Linked DNA regions of Diceros bicornis minor. The protein of the gene in region 2 purifies or fractionates together with the protein of the main gene of each other region. This does not show direct contact. Links are inferred from orthologs where the notes say so. Each region holds a gene or a part of one and is shown on either strand. Other genes may lie near its edges. The genes, in order: CAPZB and MTPN.

Region 1 (7,777 bases), on a different chromosome or scaffold from region 2:
CAAAAAGCAGTCAGAAATTACTGATAAGCCTAGGGGATACTAAGCACAAGTTACTGAAAGAATAAATATAAAATCCAAGTGGTTAAGTTCATGAACACAGACACGCCTCAAAAGAGAGCACTCCAAGCCATTTCCCCTCAGTGCCAGGTGCTGTTCTAGGCCCCAGGGATCCGGCCATGGAAAACACAAGATGAAAATCCCTGCTCTCCAAAGAGCTCACGTTCTGGCCCATGCTAAATATGCCTGCATCACCGCACTACTATCTCACTATTAAATGAGCCCTCCTTTGCAAAGGACTCAGTATGCAATTGGTAGTCGATAAATGCCGATCCTCCCTTGCATCTCTGAGTACCCCATTACAGTCATGCACCACCTAACAACATCTCAGTCAATGACGGACTGCATAGATGATGGTGGTCCCCTAAGATCAGTACCATATAGCCTAGGTGTGTAGTGGGCTAAACCATCTAGATTTGTGTAAGAACACTCTATGATGTTCACACAATGACCAAATCGCCTGACGACACATTTCTCCGAATGTATCCCCATCCTCAAGCCAAGCGTGACTGTATTGTTTTCTAAAGTGTCCTTTATATCTTCCAACACATAAACAGCCTGACAACAGGAAGGACGAAGTTTAGAGCCTGCTAGATGTGTTTCCACTGACTGAGCAACACCTTACATTACGCCACCCCCAGAGCCTCAGCTTCCTCACCCGTAAAATGGGGACTGCAGCCACCTCAAAGGGGATTAAATGAGCTCATATAGGGGAAGGGCACAGCACAGTGCCTGGCACCCAGTGGCCCCTCAGGAAATGTTAGCCCTTTTCCTCCACCCCTTCCACAGTCCTTTCAGATTATCCAAATAAGACCCAAAAACAGGACTCGTGAGAAGCCTCATGTATCATCGTGCTCCTCCTGGTTCATCACAGGCATTTTCCCATCACAGATGGAGAATCAGGCTCCCAGGGCCAAGGCAAGATGCCCTCTCTGCCAGATATGCTGCCTTGAGCAGCCCCACCCAGCCACCCCCATCATCCTCTGCTTTTGCCCTGAGAATTAATTTATAAAACCTCGCTCCACTTTTAAAGTCCTCACTCAAATCTGTCCTGGAGAAGTCTTTCCCCACCCCGGCCTGTTCCACCCTCCACGCAGCCAGTTCTCAGCCACCACTGTTGAGGAAGTCCTATAGCGTTAAAAATGGCACCGCTGTGTTTTTAATCAAGACACAGGAAGGCATGAAGAAAAAAACTATTAGCCAGTCTGAATTAGTCACCCTAGTTCAGCAGCAACATCCCTTCATTAAACAAGGAACCAAGATCCTCAAAACCCTTTGGGGCTCAAAGTCCACATGCAAACATCTGCCTGCACTGGGCAGAGGAGCAGGTGGAAGGCCTGAGCTGTGTCAGCGCACTCTCCAGAGGTTCCTTGGCCGAGTGAGGGAGAAGTCCTCTGGTCCTTCCAAACTGGGTGCTGGCCTGCCCTGCAGAGAGTTCCAAGGTGGCCAGGAGGGCAGGCTCATGTGTGGGGCCTATGGGAGACCTCAGGCTAGTCAGAGCGCCCAGAGAGCACCTGCCTTCATTACCAAAACAAACACCACGAGTGAAGCCAGCTCTCCCTCGGAGTCGGGCTCACCTGACCCGAGGCACGTCCATAACCGGCAGTTCCAACCTTCACAAGCTGACAGTTCAGGGGGAAAGGGAGGTTGCGCCTGTAGGGTTGCATCGTATCCTGGCCGTATGTTGGCCTCGGGGCCTGCTGGCCCCCCAAGGGCTGCGGCCTCACAAGGGCGATTGTGTGTTCATTCCCGTCCTGTCGGCTCCCCCACCCTCAACCCTCCGCTCCCACTCAGGCCCCAGCGCCAAGGGAACCGGCCGCCCCGCAAGCACCGCACCCGCAGCACGGAGGCGGCGGCCGCGGGAAGGGCCCGCAGAGCGCCGCGCTGCCTTCCGGGCACACAGACGCCCGCCCTTCCCTCGCTCGCTCCGAGGAGGCCTCCCCAGAAGGGGCAACCCTCAAACCTGAGAAGGCACAGCCCCGGCCCAGCCCCACCCGGGCTGGAGAGCGCCCCTCGCTTCCCAGAGGCGGCAGAGAAGGTTCGCCCTAGGTGAGGGGAGGGGACCACCTGGGTCGGGGGCAGGGCAGGGACAGGGCCCAGGAGGGAGGGGAAGCCCAGGACACAGCGGGGCTGACACAGACTACCCTAAGAGTGGTGGGAAGTCCGGGGAAGGGGATCAAGGAGGAGGGGTGACGTCCAGGAGGGGGCCATCGGCGGAGGATGGGGAGGTCCAGACTCCAGCCCACGGAGGGAAGAGAAGATTCAGGCTGAAGCATGGAGGAGAAGGGAAACAAATCTAGGCTGAGGCCACTAGAGGAGGGGTTGACGGGGGTCCAAACTGCGGCCATGGAGAAGGGAGGGGGGACAGAGGCCTAGCCTGGACCAAGAGGAAGAGAGCCTAGCCCGTACCATGGGAGGGAGAAACGACGGCCTAGCCCGCGCTCTAGGGACCAGGGAAGGGGACCTAGCCCGGGCCATGGGGAGAAGGAAGGGGGACCACGCCTGGGCCCCCGGAGGGGGTGCCTGGCCTGGGCCACAGGTCCAGGAGGGTCTAGCCTGGGCTATGAGGGAAACCAGCCTGGACCCAGAAGTGGAGACTGGGACTCCAGCGTGAGCCAAGGGCGGGGGCAGGGACGGGGAGGCAGGGTCGCGCCCGGGCGGCGGCCCCCTCCTGAGCCGGCAGGGATGGTGTCTACCTGCGGTCCGGGACCCCGCCCCTCCCCCACCCGGCGGAACCCACCCTGCCCGGGCCGGGGGTCGGCGGGGCAGGGGGACGCGAGCTCCGACGGGACCCCAGGGCTGGGGGACGGTGATGTCGGGCCTTTACCATGGTGGCGGCGGCGGCGGCGGTCCCGGTCCCGGCGTCTGAGGCTCTCCCCCCCGCAGCAGGGCCCGGCGCTTCCACTTCCCCGGGTGCCCAGGAGTGAACATCCGGGTCAGCGCCCCCCTCCCCCCGCGCCGGGCCGCCGCCACCTTCCTTCCCCGCCCCGGCCAGGCCCGGGCCCGCCCCCCACGCAGCCGGCTCTCGGCCAATGAGCGCGCAGGGCCGCGGCGATCGCCAAGTATGGAGCGCCGCGCGGGGGGAGGAGCGCCGGACGGGGAAGTGGGGGCGAGGCCTGCGCGGCCGGGGCGGGGCGCGGCGGCCGGCGGGGAGGGCTGGCCCGGGCCCGGGCCCGGGTCGGGGGCTGCGGGCTGGGGGTCCAGGTCAGGGCCCGGGGTTGGAGGCGCGGGGCCGGGAGGGCGTTTCCGCCGCACCCACACCCTACCACTCGCTCTGCGGCTGCCGAAGCCGGTGGCGGCAGAGGGACCGTGCCCGCGGGCCTCCCAGGCGGGGATGCGGAAGGCAGTGGGGCGGGGAGGGACTGCCCGCCCCACCCGGTGCACGCGCTCACTCCTGCGGCGGACCCGGAACTGGAGCGGCCCGCGGGCCCGGCCCAGCCCCGAGGAGCGAAGGGAGCGAACCTGAGATGGAGTGGCAGCGCTGTCACTTGCTACGTGTAGGACTTGGAGCTAGTCGCTTCACCTGGGCCCGATCTCTAAAAAAAGAGCCTCGGGCCACAACACTCATTGAGCACCTACTGTATAGCAGGCCTTGTTTGAGGCGCCAAAAGATAACAGAGGTGAACCAGGTATAGTAAGATGCCCTCATAGCTTCATGTTACATGTTAGCTGTGAGGACCACACAGGTAGAGGTTAGAAGACTGGGCTCACTAAATGTTAGGTGTTGTATTTTTATATATGCTACAGAGACCTAGCACATTTACCCAGTGGGGCTGCCTCACTCCACAAAGTGACTCAGAAATCCTTTTTTTCTTCATTCAACAAATATTTGTTGAGCTTGGTCTGGAAGGCAGGAGTCCTGGAATGCTAGTCCTGCTAATAATATCTGCCATCCCTGGCTTGCTCCTCTCTCTTGTGAGAATCAAATCAGGTCACATGTGAGAGGATTGTAAACTGTGAAGTGTTGCACAAATGACAGGAATTATTACCACAAACCAGGCCATGTCCTAGGCCTCTGTGTTCAGGGAGCTCATAGTCAAGTAAAAGCTGCCACCGACATAAAAAGTGGTAGAGCTTAGTCCCACAAGAATGATTCAGACCTGTATTACAGAAATTCAGAGGAGAGTGGCAATTAGGAATTCTTTCACCTGGTAAGTATTTATTGAGCACCTACTGTGTACCAAGCACTGTTCTAGGCTCTAGGGATAAAGCAGTGAACCAGGCAGCCCATGTTGTTGCAGAGCTTGAACATTGGAGGGGAGACAATCAGCTACTAAGTAAATATATATATATTTTATATATATATGTTATATAGCTCCTAAGTAAATATATATATATATTAAATATATAGTGTCAGGTGGTAATTAGAGATGTGGAGGAATAGGCTGGCAGGTTAGCAAAGTGGGGCTGTGTTTTGGAGGGTGGCCAAAGAAGGCCTGACTTAGAAAGTAACATTTGATCACAGAGAGGGAGCAAGCCATGTGGACAGCAGAGGCACAAGGAACAGCATGGGCAGAGACCGGATGGGGACAGTCCTTGGTGTGTTCATGGAACAAGGAGGCTGAGATGGCTGGCCCAGGTTGAACAAGGGGAGAGCAGTGGGAGCTGAGATCCAGGAGGTGCAGAGCCGTGACAGGATCTGGCCTGAGCTTTGAGAGGATCAGGAGGCTGCTGTGTTCTGAATGGACTGTAGGGGGACTAGGGCGGGTAGAAAGCTACTTCTGTATTCAAGGCATTTTTTTCTTTATTTAAAAAGCACGTATAAGGGGCTTCCCATGTGATGGACACTGTTAAGCACTTTGCAAATAATAACTCGTTTAATCCTCATAACAGAGGCCTAAATAGGTAAGCCCAAGGTCACACAGCAGAGAGATGAAGGTGGCTTACATCAGGATAGTAGCATTGGAGATGACAAGAAGAGATCATAGAGCCGGCCCCGTGGCTTAGCGGTTGGGTGCGCGCGCTCTGCTGCTGGCAGCCCGGGTTCGGATCCTGGGCGCGCACCGACGCACCGCTTCTCCGGCCATGCTGAGGCCGCGTCCCACATACAGCAACTAGAAGGATGTGCAACTGTGACATACAACTATCTACTGGGGCTTTGGGGGGAAAATAAATAAATAAATAAAAAAGAAGAGATCATATTCTGGATAGTTGCTGATGGACTGCTGGTGGGCATGAGAAGAAGAAAGGAATCAGGGATGATACTCCGATTTTTAGCTTTCTCAACACTAGAAGGATTTAACCATTTGTTGATCTGTGGAAAAGTGTACAAGGAACAGGGGTGTGTTTGTTGTTTTTGGAGGGGGATAAGAGTCATTTTGGGGCAAGTTATGTTTGAGATGCCTGTTGGAGATTTGAATGGAGATGTCAAATAAGTAATCAGATATGGGAGTCAGGAGTTGGGGAAAGAAGTTGGAGCTGGTGATAAATTTATGAGAACTGTCAGCTAATAAATGATATTTTAAGGTCCTTAAAAGCACAAGACATCTAGGTGAGCTCACGTAGGAGGTGACTGTAGAGAGAAGAGGTCAAGAAGACAAAGAGGAACCAGCAAGGAGACCGAGAAGAAGTGACCTGGGAGGCAGGAAGAGGACCAAGAGAAGGCGGTGTCCCACTGGGAGGCCAAGGGGTAAGGGCATGAGGGAAAGTTTTGTGAAAGAAGTGACACTTGAATCATTTACTTGAAAATAATATTGAAAGAAAGCCTTGTTCAAAATGCATGACATATTTTCTCATTTAATCCTCATTACAACCCTATGAGGATAGTACTATTATTATTCCCATTTTACAATGAGGGAACTGAGGCACAGAGGGGTTAAATAACTTGCCCAAGATCAGATAGCTAATGAGTTCAAAGCCAGGCAGTCTGGGACCAGAGCCCACACTCGTAACCTCAGATCTGATCACGTTGCTTCCCTGCTCAAAAGCTTGTGAAAGTTAAGTTATCTTGTAATAAGAGGGCTCAGGAACCAACCCAGAACTCAGTGACAGGCTAGTCCGTCTCGCTCATGCAGCCCCATTTCTGCTTCTTTTGGTGCATCTGCTACATTCTTCCTTTCCTATCTGGCATCCTCAGCCTGCGTGTAACACTATTGCCTTAACATTGCAGCCTGCATGGGATCCATCCTAGTGGCCTTTGTCCCCTCTTTATTCTCTGCATCAGCTTGCTCTATTAACTGGAAAATTTTTTTTGTTTTTCATAGTTCAGGTCCCAAGACAGAATCCAGTTGACCCAACTCTGGGTCATCTTTTTTTTTTTTTTTTTTGTGAGAAAGATCAGCCCTGAGCTAACATCCGTTGCCAATCCTCCTCTTTTTGCTGAGGAAGACTGGCCCTGGGCTGACATCCGTGCCCATCTTCCTCTACTTTACATGGGATGCCGCCACAGCATGGCTTGACAAGCGGTGCATCAGTGTTTGCCCTGGATCCAAACCTGCGAACCCCGGGCCACCAAAGTGGAGCATGTGAACTTAATTGCTACACCACCGGGCAGGCCCTGGGTCATCTTTTAATGATGACAGCTCATCAGACAGGTCACTGGCAAGTCCACAGATTGACTGCACATAGGTCAGATCTCACCCCTTGACCAGCCAACTATTGCTATGAGCAGGGGGGCATGTGGCATTAAATATGACTGCCTACAAGGGGCTGTGGGTAGGTGGGCAGGCACCATAAATATTTTTAGTACTGTTTCTCCTCTTTCAAAAACTCAACCCCCTTGAAGTTCATACTATCCTATTTTTCCACCCGTCACCCCTCCTTTTTGCTCTCAGGAACTGACTTGCACCTCCCCTCCTGCACCTTTATAACTTTAGCATCCATAAGCATAATCCATCAAAAATCTTATTGACCCCTCGTTTACTGATTTCTTTCCTGCCAATGAGTTTTTTCTTCCCCTGTCCCCAGGTACCCACTCCCATGGTCTTACCTTGGACTTGCTCTCACCAGTAATTGCACTATCTCAGAAGATACAATCGCGAAGATCTCAAATCTGACTTTAAGCTCCTTGCTACAGTATCACACACAAGCATTTCTTCAACCTCATCAAGACCTGCAGACCTTGGACCTGCCAGATTTCCACATTTATCTTCCTTCTTGCGCTCACTTCCCTCCTTACCAGCTTAGTAATGAGCATTATACTCTCTTCCTGGCAAAAACCTGTAACCCCTCTGCCCCCCTCTTTTCTGCTAACTTGCCCAACCCCAGTTAAGCGAGCTGTTCCCCTACTCTCTGCCTATATTGCTGGGAAATTTAAAGTGAATGGTGTCACTTTATGTTGATGTCCACAAATTTTAAACGAGCCCTCAATCCTGCCTATCCACCCTACCATATTTCCCTGCTATTTTCAATTCCCCACACTCTACGATGATGATTTTTCAATCTTCTTCCTCCTTTATCCCCTTCTCATCCTTCACTCTAAACAGATGAGCTTGCCTTGTACTTCACAGAGATAATAGAATCCATCAGACAGGAACCCTCTTGTCCATCTACCAACAACTCTGCACCTTGCCCACATTCTCTGCCTTCCCCGCTTGTGAGTGAGGGGTCTGTGCACCTATCCGAGCCAACCCCTCTGCTTGCACTCTGGATCCCTCTTTCCTTAGTCATCCATTTCTCTCTCTATATTGGATCATTCCCACCTGCTTAACATAACATGCCCCAATATCTCGTATCCTAAAAAAAAAGCCTGAACAACAAAAATCTTGATCCCACATCTCCC
Region 2 (7,714 bases):
CTTCACCTACAGGTCCATTCTTTTTTTTTTTTAATTTAATTAATTTATTTATTTATTCACCCCCCAAAGCCCCAGTAGATAGTTGTATGTCACAGCTGCACATCCTTCTAGTTGCTGTATGTGGGACGCGGCCTCAGCATGGCCCGAGAAGCGGTGCGTCAGTGCGTACCCAGGATCCGAACCCGGGCCGCCAGCAGTGGAGCGCACGCACTTACGGGGCTGGCCCTACAGGTCCATTCTTATATGTTAATGTGAGAGATCTTCACAGGACTACCGAGGAGGAGCGAGGAGAGTATTTTAGAGACTCTCACCCCTTAGAAGGAAAACTAGACAAGTCCAAATGTTTCTTTATGTACCTTCTTTGTACACACTTACTCAGATACATACATATTACATAAACTCAGAAAATAATCACGAGTGTTCATAAATTGGTGGATGAAAAAGGTGAGTCAATGTGCAGGGAAGATGACTGCTGAGCAGAAGAAATTATGTTATAAGGACTTGAGAGTGTTAAAAGGCACAATAAGCGAGCTCAGTCAGTAACAACTGGATTGTGGGTTTTTGGTTCTTATATTTTTTGTTATTTTTCATTAACAAAGCAAAAGATATTTTAACAGATTCAAGTTACTCAATAAAAACTAAGAAAGGAAAAAGCTCAATGTTCTGTTCATAGGATTACATTACAGTCAAACCCTTTTGGATAAACCAGTTCTTAGCACTTCTTTTTACTTTTCTTTGAATGTCTATCTTCCCTCTCACGCACATCTTTTTTGTTAATGAGAGGAGGCAGCATGGTAGTAACAGGGCAATACAAAATAAAACTGAACATAATGACTTAATTTAAAAAACTAACTGAAAATAAATTAATCCATTATTATTGGCACATATTTTCACATAAACGTTTTTGTGTGATTCTGAATTCTTTGTGCATAATTTATCTGCCTGAATATGGACCTTGGGAACGTCCCACCAAAAATCCTGATACCATATGCTTTCACAACTGCATTTTAGATTGTCAGAGACTGCATGGAGTAGTTAAAGATGTAAGTCTGGAGTCAGCAGTTTACTTCTGGCTTCGTCATTTGTTATCTATACGTTTGGATTTTTTTTCTTAAGTACCCTGCATCTCAGTAACCTTATCTGTAAAATGGGAGTAATAAAAGGATTTACTTCACAAGACTCACAAGGATGATATAAAATAATGTATTAGGAAGACACTATATAAACTGTGTTATTTTTGTGGCTGTGAGATCAGTTAGTACTTATCAACTTTTCATATTTCAAAGACATCAAATAACCTAGCTTCCCCCATAACAGAAAAACAAAAGCCCACTCACTTCCAGAGTACTGCAGTGTCCCACCACTGGAAAGTGCACCATGGATTGAAGTGTTCCAAGTAATTTCTTCCCTTTAATCTTACACTGAAACATCCAATAAGTCAGGTTTCAGATTGCCACTAGCTGAGAAGGCAGTGAATGGCGTCCTAAAAATCCACTGCGAATAACAACTTAGCAGATAACCTGCACGCAAAAAAGTCTAAATCGTAAACAGTAAAACCTATCAACAGCTTGCCTTGCACAATCCTGCAAGTTTAGGAAACTCCGCTTCTGCTTACTTGCTTCCTAACACAGATCTCTGAAGCAAAAACAGACCACCATAACAGTGGTCATATTCTTTGAAGAACTCAAATCTAGATTGGGTTCTCACATTTTTAGAAGGTGAGCAAGATGCCCTCCATGGTTATGTCAGAAAGTTACACTTTTTAGAAGCAAGATGCCCTCCATGGTTATGTCATAAAGTTATAGTGTTGTTTTGGAAGATTTCTTTCTAGATTATCATCATATTAAAATCAGATGTTCTCTCATAATTAAGTTCTCTCATAATTACAAAGGGCACAGTTTCAGGGTCCAAAGGCAGGCCAGCTTAATTTTAAGTTTACCAGTCCACCACAATGTGGATTCAGGCTTCTATGCTGGGTTTAGGTTACAGATTAGCTTTCTTCATCATGATTTTACCCGCGAATATACTGTGACTAAACTGCATTACTACTTATTACACATGCAAGCATTTCAGATGGAATCAAGGAGAAAGATGGAATAACTGAAGTTAACATGCTTGTCTGAAAACTACTCAGATATCTTAAACACTCTCAAATGCTAACTGACAATCCTACCACTTGAAGCAAATAGGTACTTGTCGAAGTGGGGGACAGGAAAAGGACCACACCCAAAGTTAAGACATGACAGCGAAGTGATACCAAGTGTCAGAATTTTAACTATTGCTATTTTCGGTGCTCTTTTTCACGGTTAACGACTACCTGAAATTCCTAACAGGCCCCAAGTTAAAGACAAACGTTCCTCTGATTCTAATCACTCAGGTTACTTCATTCAGTAATGGGCAGGTCCAAGATGGAAAATCACCTCATTCAAAGAAAGATGTGACTAACTCTGCCGAAGAACAGGGCCAAACTCAGGGATCCGTGCTCAGAAGGGACGCTGCAAGAGCGGGTTAGCGCTCCTCCCCTCCCCCAAGGGGTCAGGGAAGGCAAGAGAGCCTGACTGTCTCCCCACGGCAGTTACCCGGCACAGGACGCGACCTCGCTACCTGGACCCTCCTTTCAGTTCAGACGCTCCCTGACTCCCTGCCTCCTGGTGCCACCTCCATCCAGGATGTCTCTCCGCCCCCCGCCCCCGCCCCGCCAGCCGAGCTCCCGTCAGCTTCCTCAGCCTCACCTCCATCCCACCTCCGCGCTCGCCTACTCCACGCATCCCGCTTACCTTGGCCACGTAGTCTTTCACCTCATCCAAGTCTCCGTTTTTCAGGGCCCACATGAACTCCTTGTCGCACATCACCGCAGCGGGGCGGGCCGGCTGGCCGGGCAGAAGACGAGGAGGCGGTGGCAGCAGCAAGCGGACGCCGCCGGGCGACAGGGAGACAGGGCCGCGCGGAGCCGGAGAGGAGAAGGGAAGGCGGGGTAGGCTGCCAGGAGGGCGAGGCAGTTGGCCGCGGCGACCGTTAGGGCGGGAGAAAGTTCTTTTGCGGCCACCAGGCCCAGCAGAGCAGGTTCCGCCTGGGCGAGGGGAAGCAGGAGCGTTTACACTTCCGGTTCACTCCCAGCTAGGACCCTCCCCCAACTTCCTCTTCCTCTTCCCCACGGCGGAACGCCCTGCGCCGGACCCCGCCCCGACGGGAGCGCCCGTGTGCGCAGGCGCAGTGGCTAGACTGCTTTGCTAACGGGTGGGGGGGAAGTGGGCGGGGCTAGGAGGCCAGCGAAGGGGGTCGGAGGTCAGGAAGGGCTGAGAGCAAGAGGAGAGAGAATTTCAGATGGGGTCTGGACGTTTCTGCACACCATAAGTGGGAAAAACTTTTTCTTTAAAACACAACCTTGGAGGGCATCTTGCTCACCTTCTAAAAGTATCCAGTAGGAGTGTTTGATTTGAATTCCTTCCCTTCTTTCTTTTCTTTTCTCCCTATTCCCTTCCCTTCCTCCCTTTCTCCCTTCTTCCCTCCCTCCTTCCTTCCTCCCCTTCCTCCCTTCCTCTTTCTCTCCATCCCTTCCTTCCTTCGCTCTCAAGCATCCCTTGGTCTCCTAGTACATGCCAGACTCTGCTGGGCACCAAGGATATAGTAAAAAGATGGAATAAAACAATTCCTGCCCTCAAGGAGCTCTTTGGTACTTATAACAATAATGGGAACTCACTGTGTCTATACTATGTATAATGTTCTGTGGGGAGAAAAACGTTAGTGTGTGGCAGGGAAAAAACTTTACTCATCTCCTTGACCAGCAAATGATGTCCAGGACTAGGAATTCTGTTTAATGCCATGGGACAGAGCAAATCTAACTGTCAGGTACAATTTGTGTTTTTAAAATTTTGTGTTCATTTCTTTTTAATGGTTTGAAGCTTCAGGACTGTTCTAGTGAAGCCAGTTCTACTCTTCCTAGAGTTTGGCTGTATTAGCTTGGGGCATATCCACCAGGTAAATTGTGCCTCATCCCTAATGATTCAGACATGCACACATGAACAGAGAGATCCCATAAAAACGCTTATTGGAGGTATTATATATATAAAGTCTATTATTTATGATCCACTAAACAATTAAACCAGTCTACTTGCTGTGCTTGCCGTATAGTAGGGGGGCGGAGAACACAGACTCTGGAACCAGATTGCTTAGTTTTGAATACAAGACCCAACCCTTACTAATTTTGTGTCACATCTGTCAAGTTACTTAACCCCTCTCTGTTTAATTTTCCACTTGTGTTAAATGGGGCTAACAAAGTTCAATAAATGTAATTTTTTTTGCTATCATTTAGAAATAGCAAATAGAGATTTCAAATCAAAAGAAAAGTCTCTGAATATTGAACAGCTACCTTGATTGCCATTCTGTTGATTTTCCTTTCTGACAAATAGAAATACAAAATCACGTACCTGATGGTGATACATTTCTGGAAACAAAGCTCCAGGAGGAATTTGTTAGGCAAATCCTGGAGTCCCCATCTCTTCTCTTACACTCTCACCTGTGTGATCTTTGAGTGACGTAAGGCTGACAGCTCTTGATTTAGATCTCCAGCCCAGACTTCTCCTTTGTGATCTGTTCTTATATTTAACCTCTTACCCATTTGAATGTCTGAAACTTAACGTGTCCAAAATAGGATCTAGTCTCCTCTAGATTCTAAACCTAGTTGTTCCCTAGACTTCTCCATCTCTATAAATGACATCAGCAACCATCCCGTCACTAAAACCAGAAACATGGTGACAAAGATTCTCTCTTTGACTAAACTTGAACCAGGCTCCTCTGAGCCCTCTTCTCGAGTAGGCCTCAAATCTTGGTCTGTACAGACTTGAACAAACACTAACATAGTTCCTAACAGCTCAAGGCCACCTCTCTAAGATGACCCTAGTCCCCTTTAAAGTGCCTGCTTGAGAAATCTCAAAGCTGTCCAAATTTTCTTAGTGTTTGTCCCACCCAACACCTGAGGATAGGGCCTCTGACTCCCAGTCTCTGTAGGAGGGTAGAATCCTAACTTCGATGATTGCCAGCCGATAGGCACAGCTGGCCCAATCGCATTCACACTGACTAACTTTTTCTAATTTGTCACTTCCCTGACTCTGCTGAGCCTGCACTTCTCCCTCTTCCCACTCCCTCATTCTCCCTTTAGAACACTCATTTACCTCTGTACAAATCCAAGCTGAGTTCAGTTCATGCTAGGCTCTTTTCCCTATTGCAAGAGTTACTACTGAAAAAAATCTGTCTTGACCACTTTCACTAGTGTCTGGCTTTGTTTATCTTTGAAAATGGGAGTCATCAACAACTCCTCCCTTTCCCAGTCTTTCTCTCTTATTCAATCCGTCAGTAAATCCTTCAAAATATATCTTAAATTCTTCACTTCTTGCCATCTTCACTACTGACTATTCCCGCCACACACCCCTTCTCCACCACTGTCATCTCTGTCTGCACTGAGATGGTGCCTCCATAATATCCTCCCGGCTGGTCTACCCATTTTCACTTTTACCCTTTTCCAAGTAATTCACCACATAACCAGAGTTACCTTTTTGAAACATAAATCAAATATGCACTTCTTGTCCTAAGACCGTTCAATGGCTTCCTATTGCATTTAGGATAACATCCTAATTATTTGCGATGGCCTTCAGGGCTTTCTGTGATCTGACCCTGAGAGTCTCTCCTGTCTCATTGCTTCCTTGGTTCCCAGAGATCTCGTCTTCTGTCAGTTTCAGGAAAAACCAAGGTCATTCCAGCCTCGGGCAGTTATGCTTGTTGTTTCCTGTCTGGAATGTTCTTCTAATTCTTGCTCACTTCTTCTGAACTTTGAGGTCTCAATGCAAATGTTACCTCTTCAGGCCTCCAGACCACTTACTTTAAATAGGTCCGTCAATTACTTCTACCATGTAACCCAGCTTTTTTTCCCCCCTTCACCTCACTTATCACAAATATTTTCATTATTTTTTTGTTGATCTATTTTGGTAGGTATTTATGGTGTTCAGAAAATATTTCCTTTTGTCTGCCACCCTGGGCACAAGAGAGAATTACTCTTCCTGGCTTCCTTGTGGTTGAGTAATGTCATGTAACTAATTTTGGCCTATTAGTTATGAGCAGAAGTAATATGAGTCACTTCTAGGCTTGCCAATGCAATACCCTTCAGAGCTCTTTTTTCCCTCTGGGACAGCAACCAGCAACATTCAAGACAGTGACTACACAGTCTGCCTGGGTTCCTGAGTGGCCACAATGAGCAGAGCTCCTCTGCCATCCTGTAAGGGATATGTAGTATGAATAAAAATTAAACTTTTGTTGTTTCAAGCTACTGAGATTTTGGTGTTTATTACTGCAGCAACACTGAGCCAATCTTGACTAGTAGAGAAATTGTTGTCAGAAGGGAGATGTTACTAGAACAAAAACCTTATATAGATGGCATTGGCTTGGGGACTAGGTAGTACATAACAAAGGAAGTGATATTAGAAGCTATAAGGATAGTGATTCATATTCACAGGAGTGAAATATTTGGCAAAGCAATCTCTTGTAATAGCATGGTGACGCATGGAGGGCAGATAATGTACCCTATAAACTTGTAGCTTTAGTAGAATAGGCTGGAAAATGGAAAGCTGGTGGCTTGTGTTGGTAACTATTTTTTGTGTGTGGGGGCATTATTTGTGTGTGGGGTTTTTATTTATTTTTTCCAGCTTTATATAATTGACATATAACATTGTGTAAGTTCAAGGTATACAGTGTGTTGACTTCATATATGCATATATTGAAATGATTGCCTCAGTAAGGTTAGTTAACACATCCATCACCTCACATAGTTACCTTTTTTTTTGTGGTGAGAACTTTTAAGATTTTTTCTCTTAGCAACTTTCAAGTATATAATACAGTATTGTTAAATATAGTCACCATGCTGTACATTAGATCCCCAGAATTTATTCATCTTATAACTGGAATTTTGTACCTTCTGACTGCTTTCACCCCCACCTTCCTACTAACAACCACAAATCTACTCTCTGTTTCTATTCAGTTTTTTTAGATTCCTCATATAAGTGAGATCACATAGTATTTGTCTTTCTCTGTCTGACTTATTTCACTTAGCATAATATCCTCAAGGTTCATCCATGTTGGCACAGATGACAGGAATTCCTTCTTTTTTAGGGCTGAATAATATTCCATTGTGTATGTATATATGTATATGTGTGTATATATATATATATATACACACACACACACACACACATTTTCTTTATCCATTATTCTGTCAATGGACACTCAGATTGTTTCCATGTCTTGGCTATTGTAATTAATGCTGCAGTGAACATGGTAGTAAAGATATCTCTTTGATATCCTGGTTTCATTTTCTTTGAATATATACGCAGAAGTGGAATTGCTGGGTCATATGGTAGTTCTATTTTTAATTTTTGAGGAACCTCCATACTGTTTTCCATAGCAGCTGCACCAATTTACATTCCTACCAACAGTGCACAAGGGTTCCATTTTCTCCACATCCTCACAAATGTGTTATCTCTTGTCTTTTTGATGATAGCCACTCTAACAAGTATGATGTCTTATCTCATTGTGGTTTTGATTTGTGTTTCTCTGATGATTAGTGATGTTGAGCATCTTTTCATATATCTGTTGGACATTTGTATGTCTTCTTTGGAAAAAAGTCTGTTCAGATCCTGTGCCTATTTTTTAATTTGATTATTGGTTT

What was found.
Region 1: the proteins of MTPN (region 2) and CAPZB purify together in Homo sapiens (co-immunoprecipitation; 3 studies listed by BioGRID and IntAct, with this or other methods). This does not show direct contact. The link is inferred for Diceros bicornis minor from reciprocal best matches to the Homo sapiens genes MTPN and CAPZB.

Annotation. Positions count from the first base shown.
Region 1 is NC_080752.1:36,751,981-36,759,757, forward strand, and holds the start of CAPZB (F-actin-capping protein subunit beta), read right to left. Parts: upstream 3,020-7,777; 5' UTR 2,888-3,019; coding exon 2,885-2,887; intron 1-2,884. UniProt on the Homo sapiens protein: F-actin-capping proteins bind in a Ca(2+)-independent manner to the fast growing ends of actin filaments (barbed end) thereby blocking the exchange of subunits at these ends.
Region 2 is NC_080742.1:84,475,016-84,482,729, forward strand, and holds the start of MTPN (myotrophin), read right to left. Parts: upstream 3,090-7,714; 5' UTR 2,850-3,089; coding exon 2,778-2,849; intron 1,395-2,777; exon of another isoform or gene 1,380-1,394; coding exon of another isoform or gene 1,338-1,379; intron 1-1,337. UniProt on the Homo sapiens protein: Promotes dimerization of NF-kappa-B subunits and regulates NF-kappa-B transcription factor activity. Plays a role in the regulation of the growth of actin filaments.